Linked DNA regions of Oryctolagus cuniculus. The protein of the gene in region 1 interacts with the protein of each later gene in a biochemical or structural test. Links are inferred from orthologs where the notes say so. Each region holds a gene or a part of one and is shown in the gene's direction. Other genes may lie near its edges.

What was found.
Region 2: the proteins of STK3 (region 1) and GABARAPL1 form a complex in vitro, tested with the Homo sapiens proteins (2 studies listed by BioGRID and IntAct). The link is inferred for Oryctolagus cuniculus from reciprocal best matches to the Homo sapiens genes STK3 and GABARAPL1.
Region 3: the proteins of STK3 (region 1) and microtubule-associated proteins 1A/1B light chain 3C form a complex in vitro, tested with the Homo sapiens proteins (2 studies listed by BioGRID and IntAct). The link is inferred for Oryctolagus cuniculus from reciprocal best matches to the Homo sapiens genes STK3 and MAP1LC3C.

What each region holds. Positions count from the first base shown.
Region 1 is NC_091437.1:124,240,994-124,245,319, reverse strand, and holds part of STK3 (serine/threonine-protein kinase 3), read left to right. Parts: intron 1-2,553; coding exon 2,554-2,718; intron 2,719-3,549; coding exon 3,550-3,717; intron 3,718-4,326. UniProt on the Homo sapiens protein: Stress-activated, pro-apoptotic kinase which, following caspase-cleavage, enters the nucleus and induces chromatin condensation followed by internucleosomal DNA fragmentation.
Region 2 is NC_091440.1:106,922,890-106,927,215, forward strand, and holds the end of GABARAPL1 (gamma-aminobutyric acid receptor-associated protein-like 1), read left to right. Parts: intron 1-885; coding exon 886-1,004; intron 1,005-2,093; coding exon 2,094-2,159; 3' UTR 2,160-3,379; downstream 3,380-4,326. UniProt on the Homo sapiens protein: Ubiquitin-like modifier that increases cell-surface expression of kappa-type opioid receptor through facilitating anterograde intracellular trafficking of the receptor. Involved in formation of autophagosomal vacuoles.
Region 3 is NC_091444.1:55,581,369-55,586,467, forward strand, and holds the start of microtubule-associated proteins 1A/1B light chain 3C, read left to right. Parts: upstream 1-1,897; 5' UTR 1,898-2,005; coding exon 2,006-2,063; intron 2,064-2,162; coding exon 2,163-2,218; intron 2,219-2,386; coding exon 2,387-2,493; intron 2,494-4,557; coding exon 4,558-4,807; 3' UTR 4,808-5,099.

The sequences.
Region 1 (4,326 bases):
CCTCTTCCTTCTGTAGAATTTCCACCACAGTTTTCTAACTCTCCCCTGAGAATTTACTTTCTCTACTTTTTTTTCCTTTCCTTTTTTTTTTTTTTTTTATTATTTATTTGAGAGTTAGAGTTACAGATAGTGAGAGAGAAAGACAGAGAGAAAGGCCTTGCACCTGCTGGTTCACTCCCCAGATGGCTGCAATGGCTGGAGCTAGGCCGATCTGAAGCCAGGAACCAGGAGCTTCCCCTAGGTTTCCCATGTGGGTGCAGGGGCCCAAGCACTTGGGCCATCTTCTACTGCTTTCCCAGGCCACAGCAGAGAGCTGGATCAAAAGAGGAGCAGCCAGGACTAGAACTAGAACCCATATGGATTCCTGGTGCCACAGGCGGAGATTAACCTACTGAGTCACAGCGCTGGCCCCCTTTTTCTTTCTTTTTTTTTTTTTTTTAAACTGTTTTTCCCTAGCCTAGAGTAGTACACATTTTTCCTATTCTGCCATCTTGGAATTAACACCAAGTCTTTATTTCTACCCAGCCCCAGGCAACTACCATTTGACTTTCTATGTCTGATTTTTACTAGATATTCTAGATTGTTCTAAATATCATATTGGCTGATTCATACAGTATTCATTTTTTAATTGTGAATGTTTGGGTTATTTTACCTAGCATAATGTGCTCAAAATTTGCCTATGCTGTAGTATATTGCTGAATTGCCTTCCTTTTTAAGGCTGAATAATATTACATTTTGCTTACCTTTTCATTTGTCAGTGGATACTTGAGTGGTTTCTGCTTTTTGTCTACTGTGAATTAATCTGCCATGAGCATTGGTTGTACAAAATCTTGAGCACTTGTTTTTAGTTCTACTGAGTTTATACCCATAAGCTGAACTCCTGAGTCAAAAGGTAATTCTGTGGTTGAATTTTTATTTTCCTCAGCAGCTGTACCATTTTATATTTCTCCCTAGAGTGCACAAGGATTCCAGTTTATCCACATCTTTGCCAAAATTTATTATTTTGCTTTTTGATAATAGCTGTGGTAATGAGGGTGAAATGATATCTTGAAGTTTTGATTTTAATATCCATTATGACTAATGATGCTGGAGATCTTTTCATGTTCTTATTGGCCATTTGTCTATCTTTGGAAAAATATCTTCAACCCTTTGCCCATTTTTACTTATTTATTTTTCATTGCTGAGCTTTAGGAGTTCTCTGTATGTTCTGGATATTAATCTCTAGTTAGATACATAATTTACAAATATTCTCTTCCATTCCATTCAGTAGGTTGTGTTTTCATTTTGTTGATATTGGTTTCCTTCCTATGCACAAATTTTAAAAATTTTTATGAAGCCCAATTTGTCTGTTTCCTTTTGTTGCATATATATTTTTGTCATATTCAAGAAATCATTACCAAATCTAATATTGTGAAGCTTTTGCTGTTTTTTTTCTTAGGAGTTGGACAGTTTTAGGTCTTACATGTAGGTCTTAGAGCAATTTTTATTTTTTTAAGTCCATAATTAATAGGTCTTTCATTTGCTGGTTCTCTCCCCAAATGGCCACAACAGTCGGAGGTAGGAAATGCTGAAGCCAGGAGAGGAAGTTATCCAAGTCTCTCACATGGGTGCAGGGGCACAAGAATTTGGGCCATTTTCCACTGCTCTCCCAGGCGTATTAGCAGGGAGTTGGAACAGAAGTGGAACAGCTGGGACCCAAACCGGCACTCATGTGGGGTACCGTTGTTGCAGGCATTGCCTTTACCTACTACTCCACCTAAGGAGCTGTTGTGCTAGAAACCTGGGAAAGAAAGAGCAAATATTTATTTCTTGTCATTTCGTAATATGAAACCACCATATAGGACTGTAGTAAGGATAAATGAGGTAATGAATGCTGACTTTCATTAATGCCTATTATAGATAGACTTGCCCTTCTTCTCTCTTCTCTCTCCTTTCTTTCCTTTAACTGCTTTTTTGTGTTTCCATATCCCACATCTTTCTCTGACATTTTCATTTTTGAGTTTTCAGTATTAGGTCAGAAGCCTAGGAATTGGTTGGATTAAGAGTGACATGGTTGGAAGCAGGAAGAGTGGCATTTGTGCCAGCTCTTCTCATGATGGAGATTTGTGTCTAGCTACCTATCCTCATTGTCTTTCCTTTTTGTAAAGTTGTGGGCTTTCATTTTCTTCAAAAATCAGAGGAATTCAGGGAAAAGTGTCTCAATTTACTTTTTCAGGACAGAGAATTGCAATAGTGCACTGACCAAATGTTAGACAAAGTGAGAAATACTGATTTTTTTATGGTCATGCTGGTTCTTAGGATATGGTCAATGCCGTATGAAGTACATTGCTAATTTTAAACAGAAAAGAAATTTAATCCTCATTTCATCAGTAAAATTTATAATGATAATGACTAACAACATTGTAGATGGAAAACATGTTATTTATTATTTTAACCTTTAGGCTCTTCCTAAAGATGTAGTGGTCATTAGAAAGAAATGTTGTTCCTAGTGCTCTCTTATAAGAATTTATCTGACATGGTATTTCAGTATGACTTTAAAAAATTTCTTTCCAGTTAACAGAAGATGAAATTGCAACCATTCTTAAATCTACATTGAAAGGACTAGAATATTTGCACTTTATGAGGAAAATTCACAGAGATATAAAAGCTGGAAATATTCTCCTCAATACAGAAGGACACGCAAAATTGGCAGACTTTGGTGTGGCTGGTCAGTTAACAGTAAGTTGACTTTAATAATTTTGAGAACACGTTTGTCTGATTTGTTCTGGTTTGTATCTAAACTTTGTTAACTCTGGGGAGTATGGGAGGAAATGTGTGACTTTATTGTTCTTCTGGAGAAAGCAATAATTGAACCAAATTGAGCATTATTTATTTTATTTATAATTAGTGATATTGAATATGAAAATATACCTTGCTTTCAAATGCTTAAGTGTTGTAAAAGGGAAGCTATGTTGATTAATTTTTAATGGCTTTTTTTTTTTTTTTTTTTTTTTTTGACAGGCAGAGTGGACAGTGAGAGAGAGAGACAGAGAGAAAGGTCTTCCTTTGCCATTGGTTCACCCTCCAATGGCCACCGCGGCCAGTGCACCGCGCTGATCCGATGGCAGGAGCCAGGTACTTATCCTGGTCTCCCATGGGGTGCAGGGCCCAAGCACTTGGGCCATCCTCCACTGCACTCCCTGGCCACAGCAGAGAGCTGGCCTGGAAGAGGGGCAACCGGGACAGAATCCGGCGCCCCAACCGGGACTAGAACCCGGTGTGCCGGCGCCGCAAGGCGGAGGATTAGCCTAGTGAGCCGCGGCGCCGGCCTTTAATGGCTTTTTAATGAAGATAGTAGAAGTAGGTTACTTGTTAGGCTCTTATTTATTTCATAATTTAAAATTCCTGAATATATTGTATTGTGACTAGTTGAAATCTTAGCAATATAGTTCATTTCAGATGTACTCTGTGGTATTTAAGAGTTTAACGTGTATTTTAAAGGACATGTTGGCATACAGATTTCCTTTGTGTTTTTATAGTAGTATTTATGTCTGCATAATGCTATTACAGGATACAATGGCAAAACGTAATACTGTGATAGGAACTCCATTTTGGATGGCTCCTGAAGTAATTCAAGAAATAGGCTATAACTGTGTGGCTGACATCTGGTCCCTTGGCATTACTTCTATAGAAATGGCTGAAGGAAAACCACCTTATGCGGATATACATCCAATGAGGGTAAGGAAATTGCTGTTTGTTAAAAATGTTAACCTTGTAAGTGTTGTAGTTTTGAATGTAAGTAAGCATAAAGCAAATCAAATAAGCTTATTTGAATTTAGATTCTATGCAAAAAATAGTGAAATTATCTGTCAAAGATTAGTCACTGTTCATTTTCTTCCTATATGTTCTTAACTGCAAGAGAAATGAAAGTGGTGTTTATTTCTCACATCACTGCTTTTGTCCCCCTGGAAATATGCCTGTAAGGTCCTTATTCTTCAGCAGAATAAAGGGTTGGAAAATCGTCTTGGTTTTTCAGTTTGTTGTTTTCTCAGTGTGATAGTGGAAGAGTTTGAGGAAATCAGTTCTTTTCTACTCATTTTACAATTTCTACCTTCCTGTGTTTTTGTTACCCCCTTTTCAGCCTGAGGCTTATTTTAAAAAATTCTGAATTCTAATACTGCTATGTACTTTTAAAAGAACTAGGCTTATTTGTTGAGTTAGTGCTTATTGAGAAAAGAGAACTTTCCTGATCACTAATTTTACCCTTTTATGGCCTCCTTTTCCAGGGTAACTTTTGAATATGAAAGATTTACCTCGCACATTGAAGTTTACTTGCCTATGCTTTAA
Region 2 (4,326 bases), on another chromosome or scaffold:
GGCTGACTCAAAAATGATGTCAAGTCCCTTAAGCATTTCCCTTCACTGTGCCTTGTTTGATTCAGCCCCAGAAGAGCCCAAAACATTGGAGGAAAAGATCAGATGTCCATTATTTAAACCACCTATTAAATCAGCTTTGCCATTGTGATGTCAGTTTGTTTGAGGAGAAGTACCAGCCTAGTTTCCTGGGAGGATCACAGTTTAGAGATTATCGGTGAGATGTCTCATCTCCTCAGGCCATGTGGTTTTGTAATAGGTTTTGTATTGAGTTTGGAATTATAAAGAACATATTTGATCTTCACCTTGATCCTTAATGGAATACCTACTGTGTTCAGGAGACACTGAAAGATTATAGATCTCCTTGCTCCAGAGTTAATAGATTTGAATATTGACTTTCTAGAACATTTTCAGAATTCTCAGGAGATGTAACACACTACTTCACACTTGGTGCCCCCACACTGAATTGAGTGACCACCCTAAGACTCCTGGGGTCTGGTAGACCTCTTTCCATCTCTGGTTTGTCTTGGGGGAAGTGGGGGTGGAAGGGTGTTACAGGTCAGCTTTAGACAATGATGGGATTGATTGGTCTGGCTATACATAGAACTCCTGTGCATCAGGTGAATCTTGGGGTGGATCTGCTAACAGTGGGTCTGAAATTAATGGGGGAAAGAAGGAGTAAACTCCGCTGTGTTGCGCTTGGGACTCTGCGGGCCTCTCGTGTTTCACTTTTTATTCCCAAGGCTGCAGGAGGATGGTTGGCTCTGCTCAGATGGTCTCCAAAGCTGATACTTACTCTAGAGGGTACAGGTGCAGGAGAATTTACCCTTCCTTTAATCCCTTGTTTTCTGCTCTTCGTGCCTTCATTTTCCTTCTTCCTTCATCCAGTTGGCCAGTTCTACTTCTTAATCCGGAAGAGGATCCACCTGAGACCTGAGGACGCCTTATTCTTCTTTGTCAACAACACCATCCCTCCCACTAGTGCCACCATGGGCCAGCTGTATGAGGTAATGCTCCCGGTCGCAGCAGTTCCGAGCAGTCTGAGTTGTTGATAACACTGGGAAAGTGGGGCAGAAGGTGTTACTTACCAGGATCCTCTTACAGATGGCAGTGTCAGGCTCTGGGTGATCAGACAGCACTTGTCCTGCAGGGAAGCAGTCCTCAGGACTAGATTTATTCCCGCTGACAAATCTCTCTTCAGTCTCGCCTGACTACTGTTGTAATGTCAGTGGTCTTTATTGAAATGACTGGAAGTGGTTGTTGATAACAAAGATTCCAAACATGGATTCACTGCAGTTCCTCTTTTTCTTGTTGGTGACAAATAGTGTGAAAGCAAACTATGCATTCAGATCTCAGTTCATTATTTTATTGCTATTTATTTGAGAAAACAAATGGTGTTAATTTTAGCCCCTTCTAGCTCTGAAACTAACCTTAAGCTCTAAACCGAAATTTTGGTTTAAGACAACCATATAGAGCCACACAAGGGTAGCTCCTTATTTCTGAGTTCAAAGCTAAGAACATGAAACAGATTCACCATTACCTGGGCACAGTGAATTGTAATTGAAATTGAAATGCAAATTAAGGCCAAGTCTTCATTTTGATTCATTTATCTTAAGAGACAAACTCAGGGAGAATAACTTACCTGACTTGGTTTAATTGGTAATCTAATGAGTAAGCTATAGTAAAGCACTTTCTCACGTTGGAAATTGAACGTAACATTATAACTGTTGTACTCCTTAAAGGATTTCACACGAGTGCTGCCTTCTCATGGCGCCTCAGTAATGACACAAACTCTAATGGGACTTCTATTCCATAGTGTATCTTCTCCATTAATATATATTCCTGTACATGTCTTGTGGTATGTTTCCCTTGCTAATATGAACTTTAAAAAATATTTTAAATTATTTATTTGAAAGGCAGAGTGACAGAATTAGAATGAGATCTTCTACCCACAGGTTTAACCACTTCTGCTTACTCTTTTAATAGAGGCTAGTGATGTTCTTCATACTTATTCAATAAGGCTGTGTGTGGCTCAGAAGCCTAGGAATAATGAAGATGAATAGGTGTCCTGAGCTGTCTTCTTTTCTCTTCCCCAGGACAACCATGAGGAAGACTATTTTCTGTATGTGGCCTACAGCGATGAGAGTGTCTATGGGAAATGAGTGTTGGAAGCCCAGCAGATGGGAGCACCTGGACTTGGGGGTAGGGGAGGGGTATGTGTGGGACTTGGGGGAAGAGCAGGAGGGCTCCCACCATGGAGGAGACAGAATGTGAAGACATCGAGAAATATTACACCACACACACTGTCATCATATTTTCACATGCTCAGTTGATATTTTTTGCTGCTTCCTCGGCCCAGGGAGAAAGCATGTCAGAACAGAGCTGTTGGATTGGCTGTGAGAAAGGATTGAGGATGGCATAACTTTACAGCTTTGCTGAGAATACTTGTGCAATTTCATAGGAGGGTCAGCGTATGGACCAGGTGGGGCCAGAGACAGTTGCGGTCCAACAGTGACTCCCTCCTCACCATTCTAGTTTTGACATTCACATGAGACCAAAAGGGGAGGAAGACAGGAATGTTTTATGACTTGTGGTGGTGGGCCGTGCCTTCTGGGGACCAAGCCCATTGTAACTGAAGCACTGTGGCCTTCCACGACTCCTCCCTTCCATCCAAGTTGTATTGTCACACACAAACATCTCAGTGCCACCCCAGAGGTGGCAGTAGACACAGGCACAGAAATTGAGATGGCACTCTCTTACCTTGAAAATAGGGGTTAGTCATGACGGTGGTTATGATTACGAGGTAGTTAGGCCAGCACTGAACTGGAACGGACTTGAGTGTTGAGCCTCTCTAACCTGCTGTCTCTCTGGTGCCCCTTATCCCACACCTTTCTTGGAACTCAATGGGCCCCAGGCTAAAACTACTCCTTTAGCATATCCTTTAGCGTTTCCCGTGTATAGGGACAGAGGTGTCTTAGGTATGGCAGAGGCAGGTGGATCTCCAACTCCCACTCATCCAGACTCCTTCCTCTCCTGCTGCTGTCCCTGCAGTCTCACACGCACAGGACGGTGCTGACGGTGGCCAGCTGCTTCCCTCCTTTGGTTTCCACGCTGCAGCTGCTTGTCACAAGAGTTCGGAGGGCTGACTTTCAGTCACTATCGGGGATTTTACTGATCTGTTTTCCCTGCGGGGGTTACGTGGGGTGGGGTGGGGCCCAGGAATTGCACTCAGACGTGACATTTCATTTCATCTCCGCTACTAGAAAGAGTCCTTCCTGTTGGGAAATCTGTGTGTCAGTTCTGTCAGCTGCAGGTTCTTGTATAACAAAGTCAATGCTGTCAGGCCTCAGAAATAAAGTAATTTGCTCACCTTCAGAATTTACATGGAGTTCATAAGTGTTGCTTTTATTCGGTGTACGTTAGAGTAGATGGCACGCGGACTCTGAGCAGAACGCTGGGAGCGAGGTGAGCGAGTGCTCACCTCCATGATCAGATGTACACGTGTCGTCTCAGCTCGTTGCTGACCTGGAGTTGCCCTCGAGGGTGAGTGGTAGAGTGGGGCAGTGTGCCCGGTGTGCTGGTGATGTGTGCTTTGGCAGAGCTGAAGGTGGAACTGCCTGCATCAGAGCATGGCGGGCGGGTCGGGGGTGTGCGGATTACAAATGAAGATGTCTGGGCCTTGTCCCAAACGTATGTGACTCAATCACAGCGTAGGCGTCTGGAGTTTTAATAGCACCTCCTGTGACTCTGCTGCACACTGAAGTTTGCCAGCCACTGCCTTTGCAGCAGGTTTTGCTGCTTATTCCAACCATACCTTATTCCCCCCATCCCCCACTACATCTTGGTCAGATGTGAAGCCACCATCTCCTCTAGCAGCAAACGAGCACCAAAGTAAAGCTCCTGGTGTGAGAACAAACTTGTTGTCTTCGGAACACATGAGAGTCTTGCATTCAGTCAGGAACCAGCATGTACACTGTAAGAGAAGGAACAACAGAGACGTTCATCTCCTTGCATGAGAACCTTAAAAGCCGTCTTTAGCCTCCTTGAGCCTCTTGCACCTGTACTCCCTGGGGTGTCTGCCTCTATAGAGTTTTATGGAGTATGTCAAAGTCACTAGAAAGGAAGATCCATAGCAAGATTGCAACTACCAAGCTGTGCCCAGCCAACTGATTGGGAAAGTGAGGATTGAGAGGACAGGAGAGGCCCAAGCCCAGCAGGCACTTTATGCAGACAAGTATGGAAAACCAAGGCATTTTGATCAAAGCCTTGAAAGTATACACCTTGTCACTACAAAATGCCAGGTTGCTCTTCCCTAATAAAGCCAAAAGG
Region 3 (5,099 bases), on another chromosome or scaffold:
AACCATTTTCCATGAGGTTATTTATATCCCTTCCCCCAAATCCTTGTGGCATTGGGGTTGTGTGGCTTGAATTATCTCCCAGGTGGTAGGTCCCACACCACACACAGCCCAAAGGAGCACTGGCCAGGAACATGATTGGGTCACACAGCACACTGGGTACTCTGCTCCCCTCAAAAAGATACTTTTCAACAAAAATGTTCTATCCCATGCCTCTGCCCAAATGATACATAGATACTTTATTTTTCCCCATGTCCTTTATTTTACTACCTCATTATCTCCTGAAATGCAGAGTGCCTGGGAAAGATTGTAAGCCCCATGTCCCAGCTGAGAAAGCACTTAGAAAACATCACAAACCCTTATGACGATTGTCTAACGGCTGCAGCTGGAATTTATTTTCCCCTGACCTCTCTCTTACCTCTACCTTCAGCCTTCAGATCTGAATACACATGAAGTTTCCTGGGATTGTGGGAGCTCTGGGGAGGCATGGTTTTAGGAAGCATGGGAAAAAATACACACATTGAGAATAGGATTTGGTGCCAGGTACCATGTTAGCTGCTTTACCTAACCCAGTTCGTTAAGCCTCCTATACCCACTCTAAGTTAAGGTATTCAAAATCATAATTAGTAAAGTGAAATCACCTACATAAGATCAGAAGTTAAGGTGAATGTAGTGGGAGCACCACGCCTGGCACCAGCTTTGCATGGTGTCGGAGCCCAGGCCTGCCCCTGAGAATCCCAGTGTAGGATGGGTCCCACCTCAGTGTAATCTGACCGAGTTGTCTTGATCCCTGCAAGGTATGCTTCCCACCTGGCCTTCCAACCTGCAAGGCAACTGGGGAGATTTAAATGAAATCCAGACTTGAAAGATGCTTGGCCCCAGAGTGTCACACACCTGCTTTGTATTATGCACACCTGAGGGGCTGCCTCCTTTTGAAGAACAAGTGAAACAGCATGAGGTCAATTTCTCTCTTCAGTGATGCTGTCAGTTAAGCACCTGCTGCCTATTCCTGATCTCTGACCTAAAGCCCTGAGACTCACCCTTCCTTTCTACTCAACCTGCAAATATGGAGAACATATTTCCCTCCTCCACTCTATTGTGTATTCACTTCAAAACTCTTCACTGTTCCATGACTGCTGGGAAGTCAGAGTATACATAAGCACTCTTCACGACAAAGGAAACGTAAACCTGCTCACTCAGAATCTGAAGGGCTCCTTGGATAGGCATAAGAATCTGGAAGCAAGCTCTGAGAATCAAGAGAGCCACCTTCCGCCTGCTACTCCATGTTTGATCCCAAGGCAAGAAAATTACCTTCTGTGTGCCTCTGCTGCTCACCTCACTTCTTAAAGATCCTAGAACGGTCCCTCCTTCCTGCCACTATTGCAGAGAAGATAAATGACACCACATACTGTCATGTATGTCTACCTTGTGCCTCAGCTGGGTTCTAATCCCAACTGCCTTCTCACTAGCTATTGTGGCTTTAAGCAAATCACTTAAGCTTTCTGAATACAGGGGTTTGTTCTTTGAAAAGCAGCAAAGACTGCCTTGAGAATTATGGAGCACATTTCAGAGAGAGGCAGATTTATCATGGACTCACCTCAAGCTGGTTCATTACTGAAGTGCAAAAACAACCGTGGCATAAGGCAGTTCCACCTCTCTAAAGTCCTCAGCCCATACCTCGGCTGTCAGAGTGTGCATTCCAATGATTTCATCATGAACCCTAATTTCTTTAGCAAAGAAACATCTTGAACTGGTCAAGAGCAAAGTGACTTTCTCTGACCAGCAAGCAGGTGGCCATTCCATTTCCAGCCTCAGCACTGACCTCCTGCTGCCCAGGAAGGGGGAGTCGAGAGAAGGGAGGGTCAGGATTGGCCTGATGTCACTCAGCCCTATTTAAAGCCTCCTTTAGGCTCCTGCAGACAGCGTGGATGCAGCTGGGGGAATGAGTTGTGGGTTTTTTTTTTCTTTTTCCCTTTAAAGACCAACACAGACACAGCTGTTGAGCAAAATGCCGCCTCTACAGAAAAACCCAAGCCTCAGACCCTTCAAGCAGAGGAAGAGCCTAGGTAAAGCTCTGGGCAGCTCTCTGGGTAACTTGAGAGGCAGGAGAGGATGCATCTTTCTCTAACTGTCCACTTACTCTTTTCTACCTGAAATCTCTACAGCAACCAGACAAGAGGAAGTTGCTGGAATCCGGGCAAAGTTCCCAAACAAGATCCCGGTAAGACTCACTGTCCTTCCCCAGAGGAGCCTGTATCTGTTCTTTGAAGAAACAAAGATCAAACAATGGCCTCCCCCTCTCTTTCCCAAGTCCCTAAGATACTGGGGGCTCTGAGTCACATTCTTAGGCACCTGCCTCAGGAGAGACCCATGCTAATACTCTTGGCAGGTGATAGTGGAGCGCTACCCCAGAGAGAAGCTCCTGCCCCTGCTGGACAAAACCAAGTTCTTGGTTCCTCAGGAGCTGACCATGACCCAGTTTCTCAGCATCATACGGTAGGTGACACAGCGGACATGTGTGTGTGTGTGTGTGTGTGTGTGTGTGTGTGTGTGAGAGAGAGAGAGAGAGAGAGAGAGAGAATTAGAGAATTTTGCAACTATCTGTAAGTTTGCTGCATTCTTTGGTTGGAATGTGGGTATTCCAGAAGAAAAGGGGGTTGAGATCTTTTGGTGACTCACTCATCTTTTAGATTCTGTTGTGCCCTAAAAAGATGCTGTGAGAATTATTCTATTTTAAACAAGTGGGGAGAACCCCTTAGACAACAAGCAACAGACTGCAAGAGCTGCCGACATTTCGAAGAATTCCCTAGAGTAGTTCTGGCTCTCGAACTCATCCAGAAGATCCTTCTTCCAGAAACTGTGTGCAAGCCAGTCTGCGTGTCCCTGGCAGAGAGCAGCAGCTTTCCTCAGGGTTTGTGTTTCTGGCAGACGGGGAACTGTTTGAAAAGCAAAAGGTCCCTGCCCTTCTTAAAGCTTAAGAGGGTTAAGTGGTGTCGCCTGATGCATGAGTGCAATTAGAAAATGATTTGTGAGTAAATACAGCCAGTGACTAAGTCCTCACCAGGTTGAAAAGTCTGTTTGGAGGCTGAATAGCCACTGTTGCCTGTTGCTTTGAGGGCTCACTGTGAATGAATGAGTGTCTTCATTTTGTTTTGTTTCAAAGAGTTGTCGAAGTTTCCAAGTTCATTGTGAAGACAGATGCCTAAAGAGATATCAAAGTCGGGAGGAGATCCCATTGTATCAGTTAATCATTAGGTGACCCCTTGGGGATGGAGAACCCTTTTTCCTCTTCCCAGTCACTGCTCCTGGCTCCCAACCTACATCCTCATCCTCATCCTCATCAATGTTTATTGAGCACCAACTGTATTCTGTGTGTCTTCTGGACTCTGTAGAGCCAACTGTGAACAAAATAGACAATAATGCCTGTCTGTGGCCTTCTCCCCCTTGGGGATGCCCAAACACTCATCAAAAGTGAGTTTGCGAAATGAAGGAGATGAGTGCAAGCTCGGGCACAGGAGCTTTTCCAACCCAGCCAAGGGCAGTATTCCCATCCCTAGTTCCACTCTTCTTCCACCCCCACCCCACTGCAGAATGGTTGCTTTTCACCCAAAGGCACTGGGCAATAGCCAGAATGAATACCTTTGGTATTCTTTTAGGAGAAATTACCTGAGTATAAACTGAATCAGATTCCAGTCACTCCCCATGTCCCATTTATGTTTGATCTTATCCCACATCGAGGCTCAAAATTCTGAGAGTGCAGTGGGAAATTGTGTCTGTTTCACTAATTAGAGCAAATGGAAGTGTGTGAAAGGTGAGACTGAGCCTTCCTGTAGGCACCTATATTGATTCACTGTCAATCACTGCACACTGAATTGGAAGTCTGTTTACCCTTGACATTTAAAGGATGTCCAACTAAGCCTTGCTCCTTCTCCATCTCGTCGGTGGCAGAGGAGAAATGGCAAGGGAAGGGAAGGGCACACTTCAAGGCCTTTCCACCCCTGTTTAATTGTGAGACGCTGGAAAGATAATGTATCATTCTTGCACCCTTGGGGAAATAGCTTTCTTTTTTTTTTTTTTTTAAGCTCAGCATTTACTTGGGGAAGCAAGAGAAATAAACAGGAACTTAAGGGTTTTATTAAGGGAGGAGGGGATCAGAAAGATAAACTAGGAGTTCCATACCAGGCAGAGAGCATAACGGGGGCCATGTGCAGGAAGCTACAGGCCAGAAACCGCGTGGGCAGGAGCAGCAGCACAAACAGGTGGCCTGCATGAAGCCCACAGAAAGCAGGGAAGGGGGGGCAGTGTTCTCCATGCCTCTTATTCACTGGGGAAATAGCTTTCAACGAGACCTAGGACTTATTTGCTTAGCATTATTGTGTTGGTATTCGCCTTAGTTAAAAATGGAATGGCCTCATCCTTTGGGCCCAACTGGGAGGCCCTGAGGATCTTAAAGTTCCAGGAACAGCTGTGGGCAATTCAGTTGTCTTGCACATCCTGAGCCTTCAGATTCCTAAGCTGATTCCCAGGTCAAGTCTCTCACTACCCTTCTCCCCTTCCCAGGAGCCGCATGGTCCTGAGGGCCACCGAAGCCTTTTACCTCCTGGTGGACAACAAGAGCTTGGTCAGCATGAGCATGACCATGGCAGAGATCTATCGGGACTACAAGGACAAGGACGGCTTTGTCTACATGACCTATGCCTCCCAGGAGATGTTTGGCTGCTTGGAGTTAGCAGTTCCCAGCAGTGGGAGCAGCCATGGGAACAGACCTGAAATCCCATTCACCCCATGTCAAGAGAAACTTGTCCTCTGATGGATGCATCAGACACTGTCAGAGGCACTGTTCTTGTGTGTATGTTGGAGGGGACTGGGAAGCAGGGATACATGGGGTGATCGGCTCCACCCAATGACTGCAAAGCTGTGGCCCTCCCTGGCTCACATTCTTTGTGCTTTCTGTTCTTACTTTAAGAAAAATGTGAGCTGCTTTTGCAAGTTTTGTAAATAGTCACTTTCTTCTAAATACGAAATGATGAGCTGTGCAACGGTTTTGTGACATGAGCTGGGCATGTATCTTAAGTGTTCCCTGTGGTGGAGGTGGGCAGGCC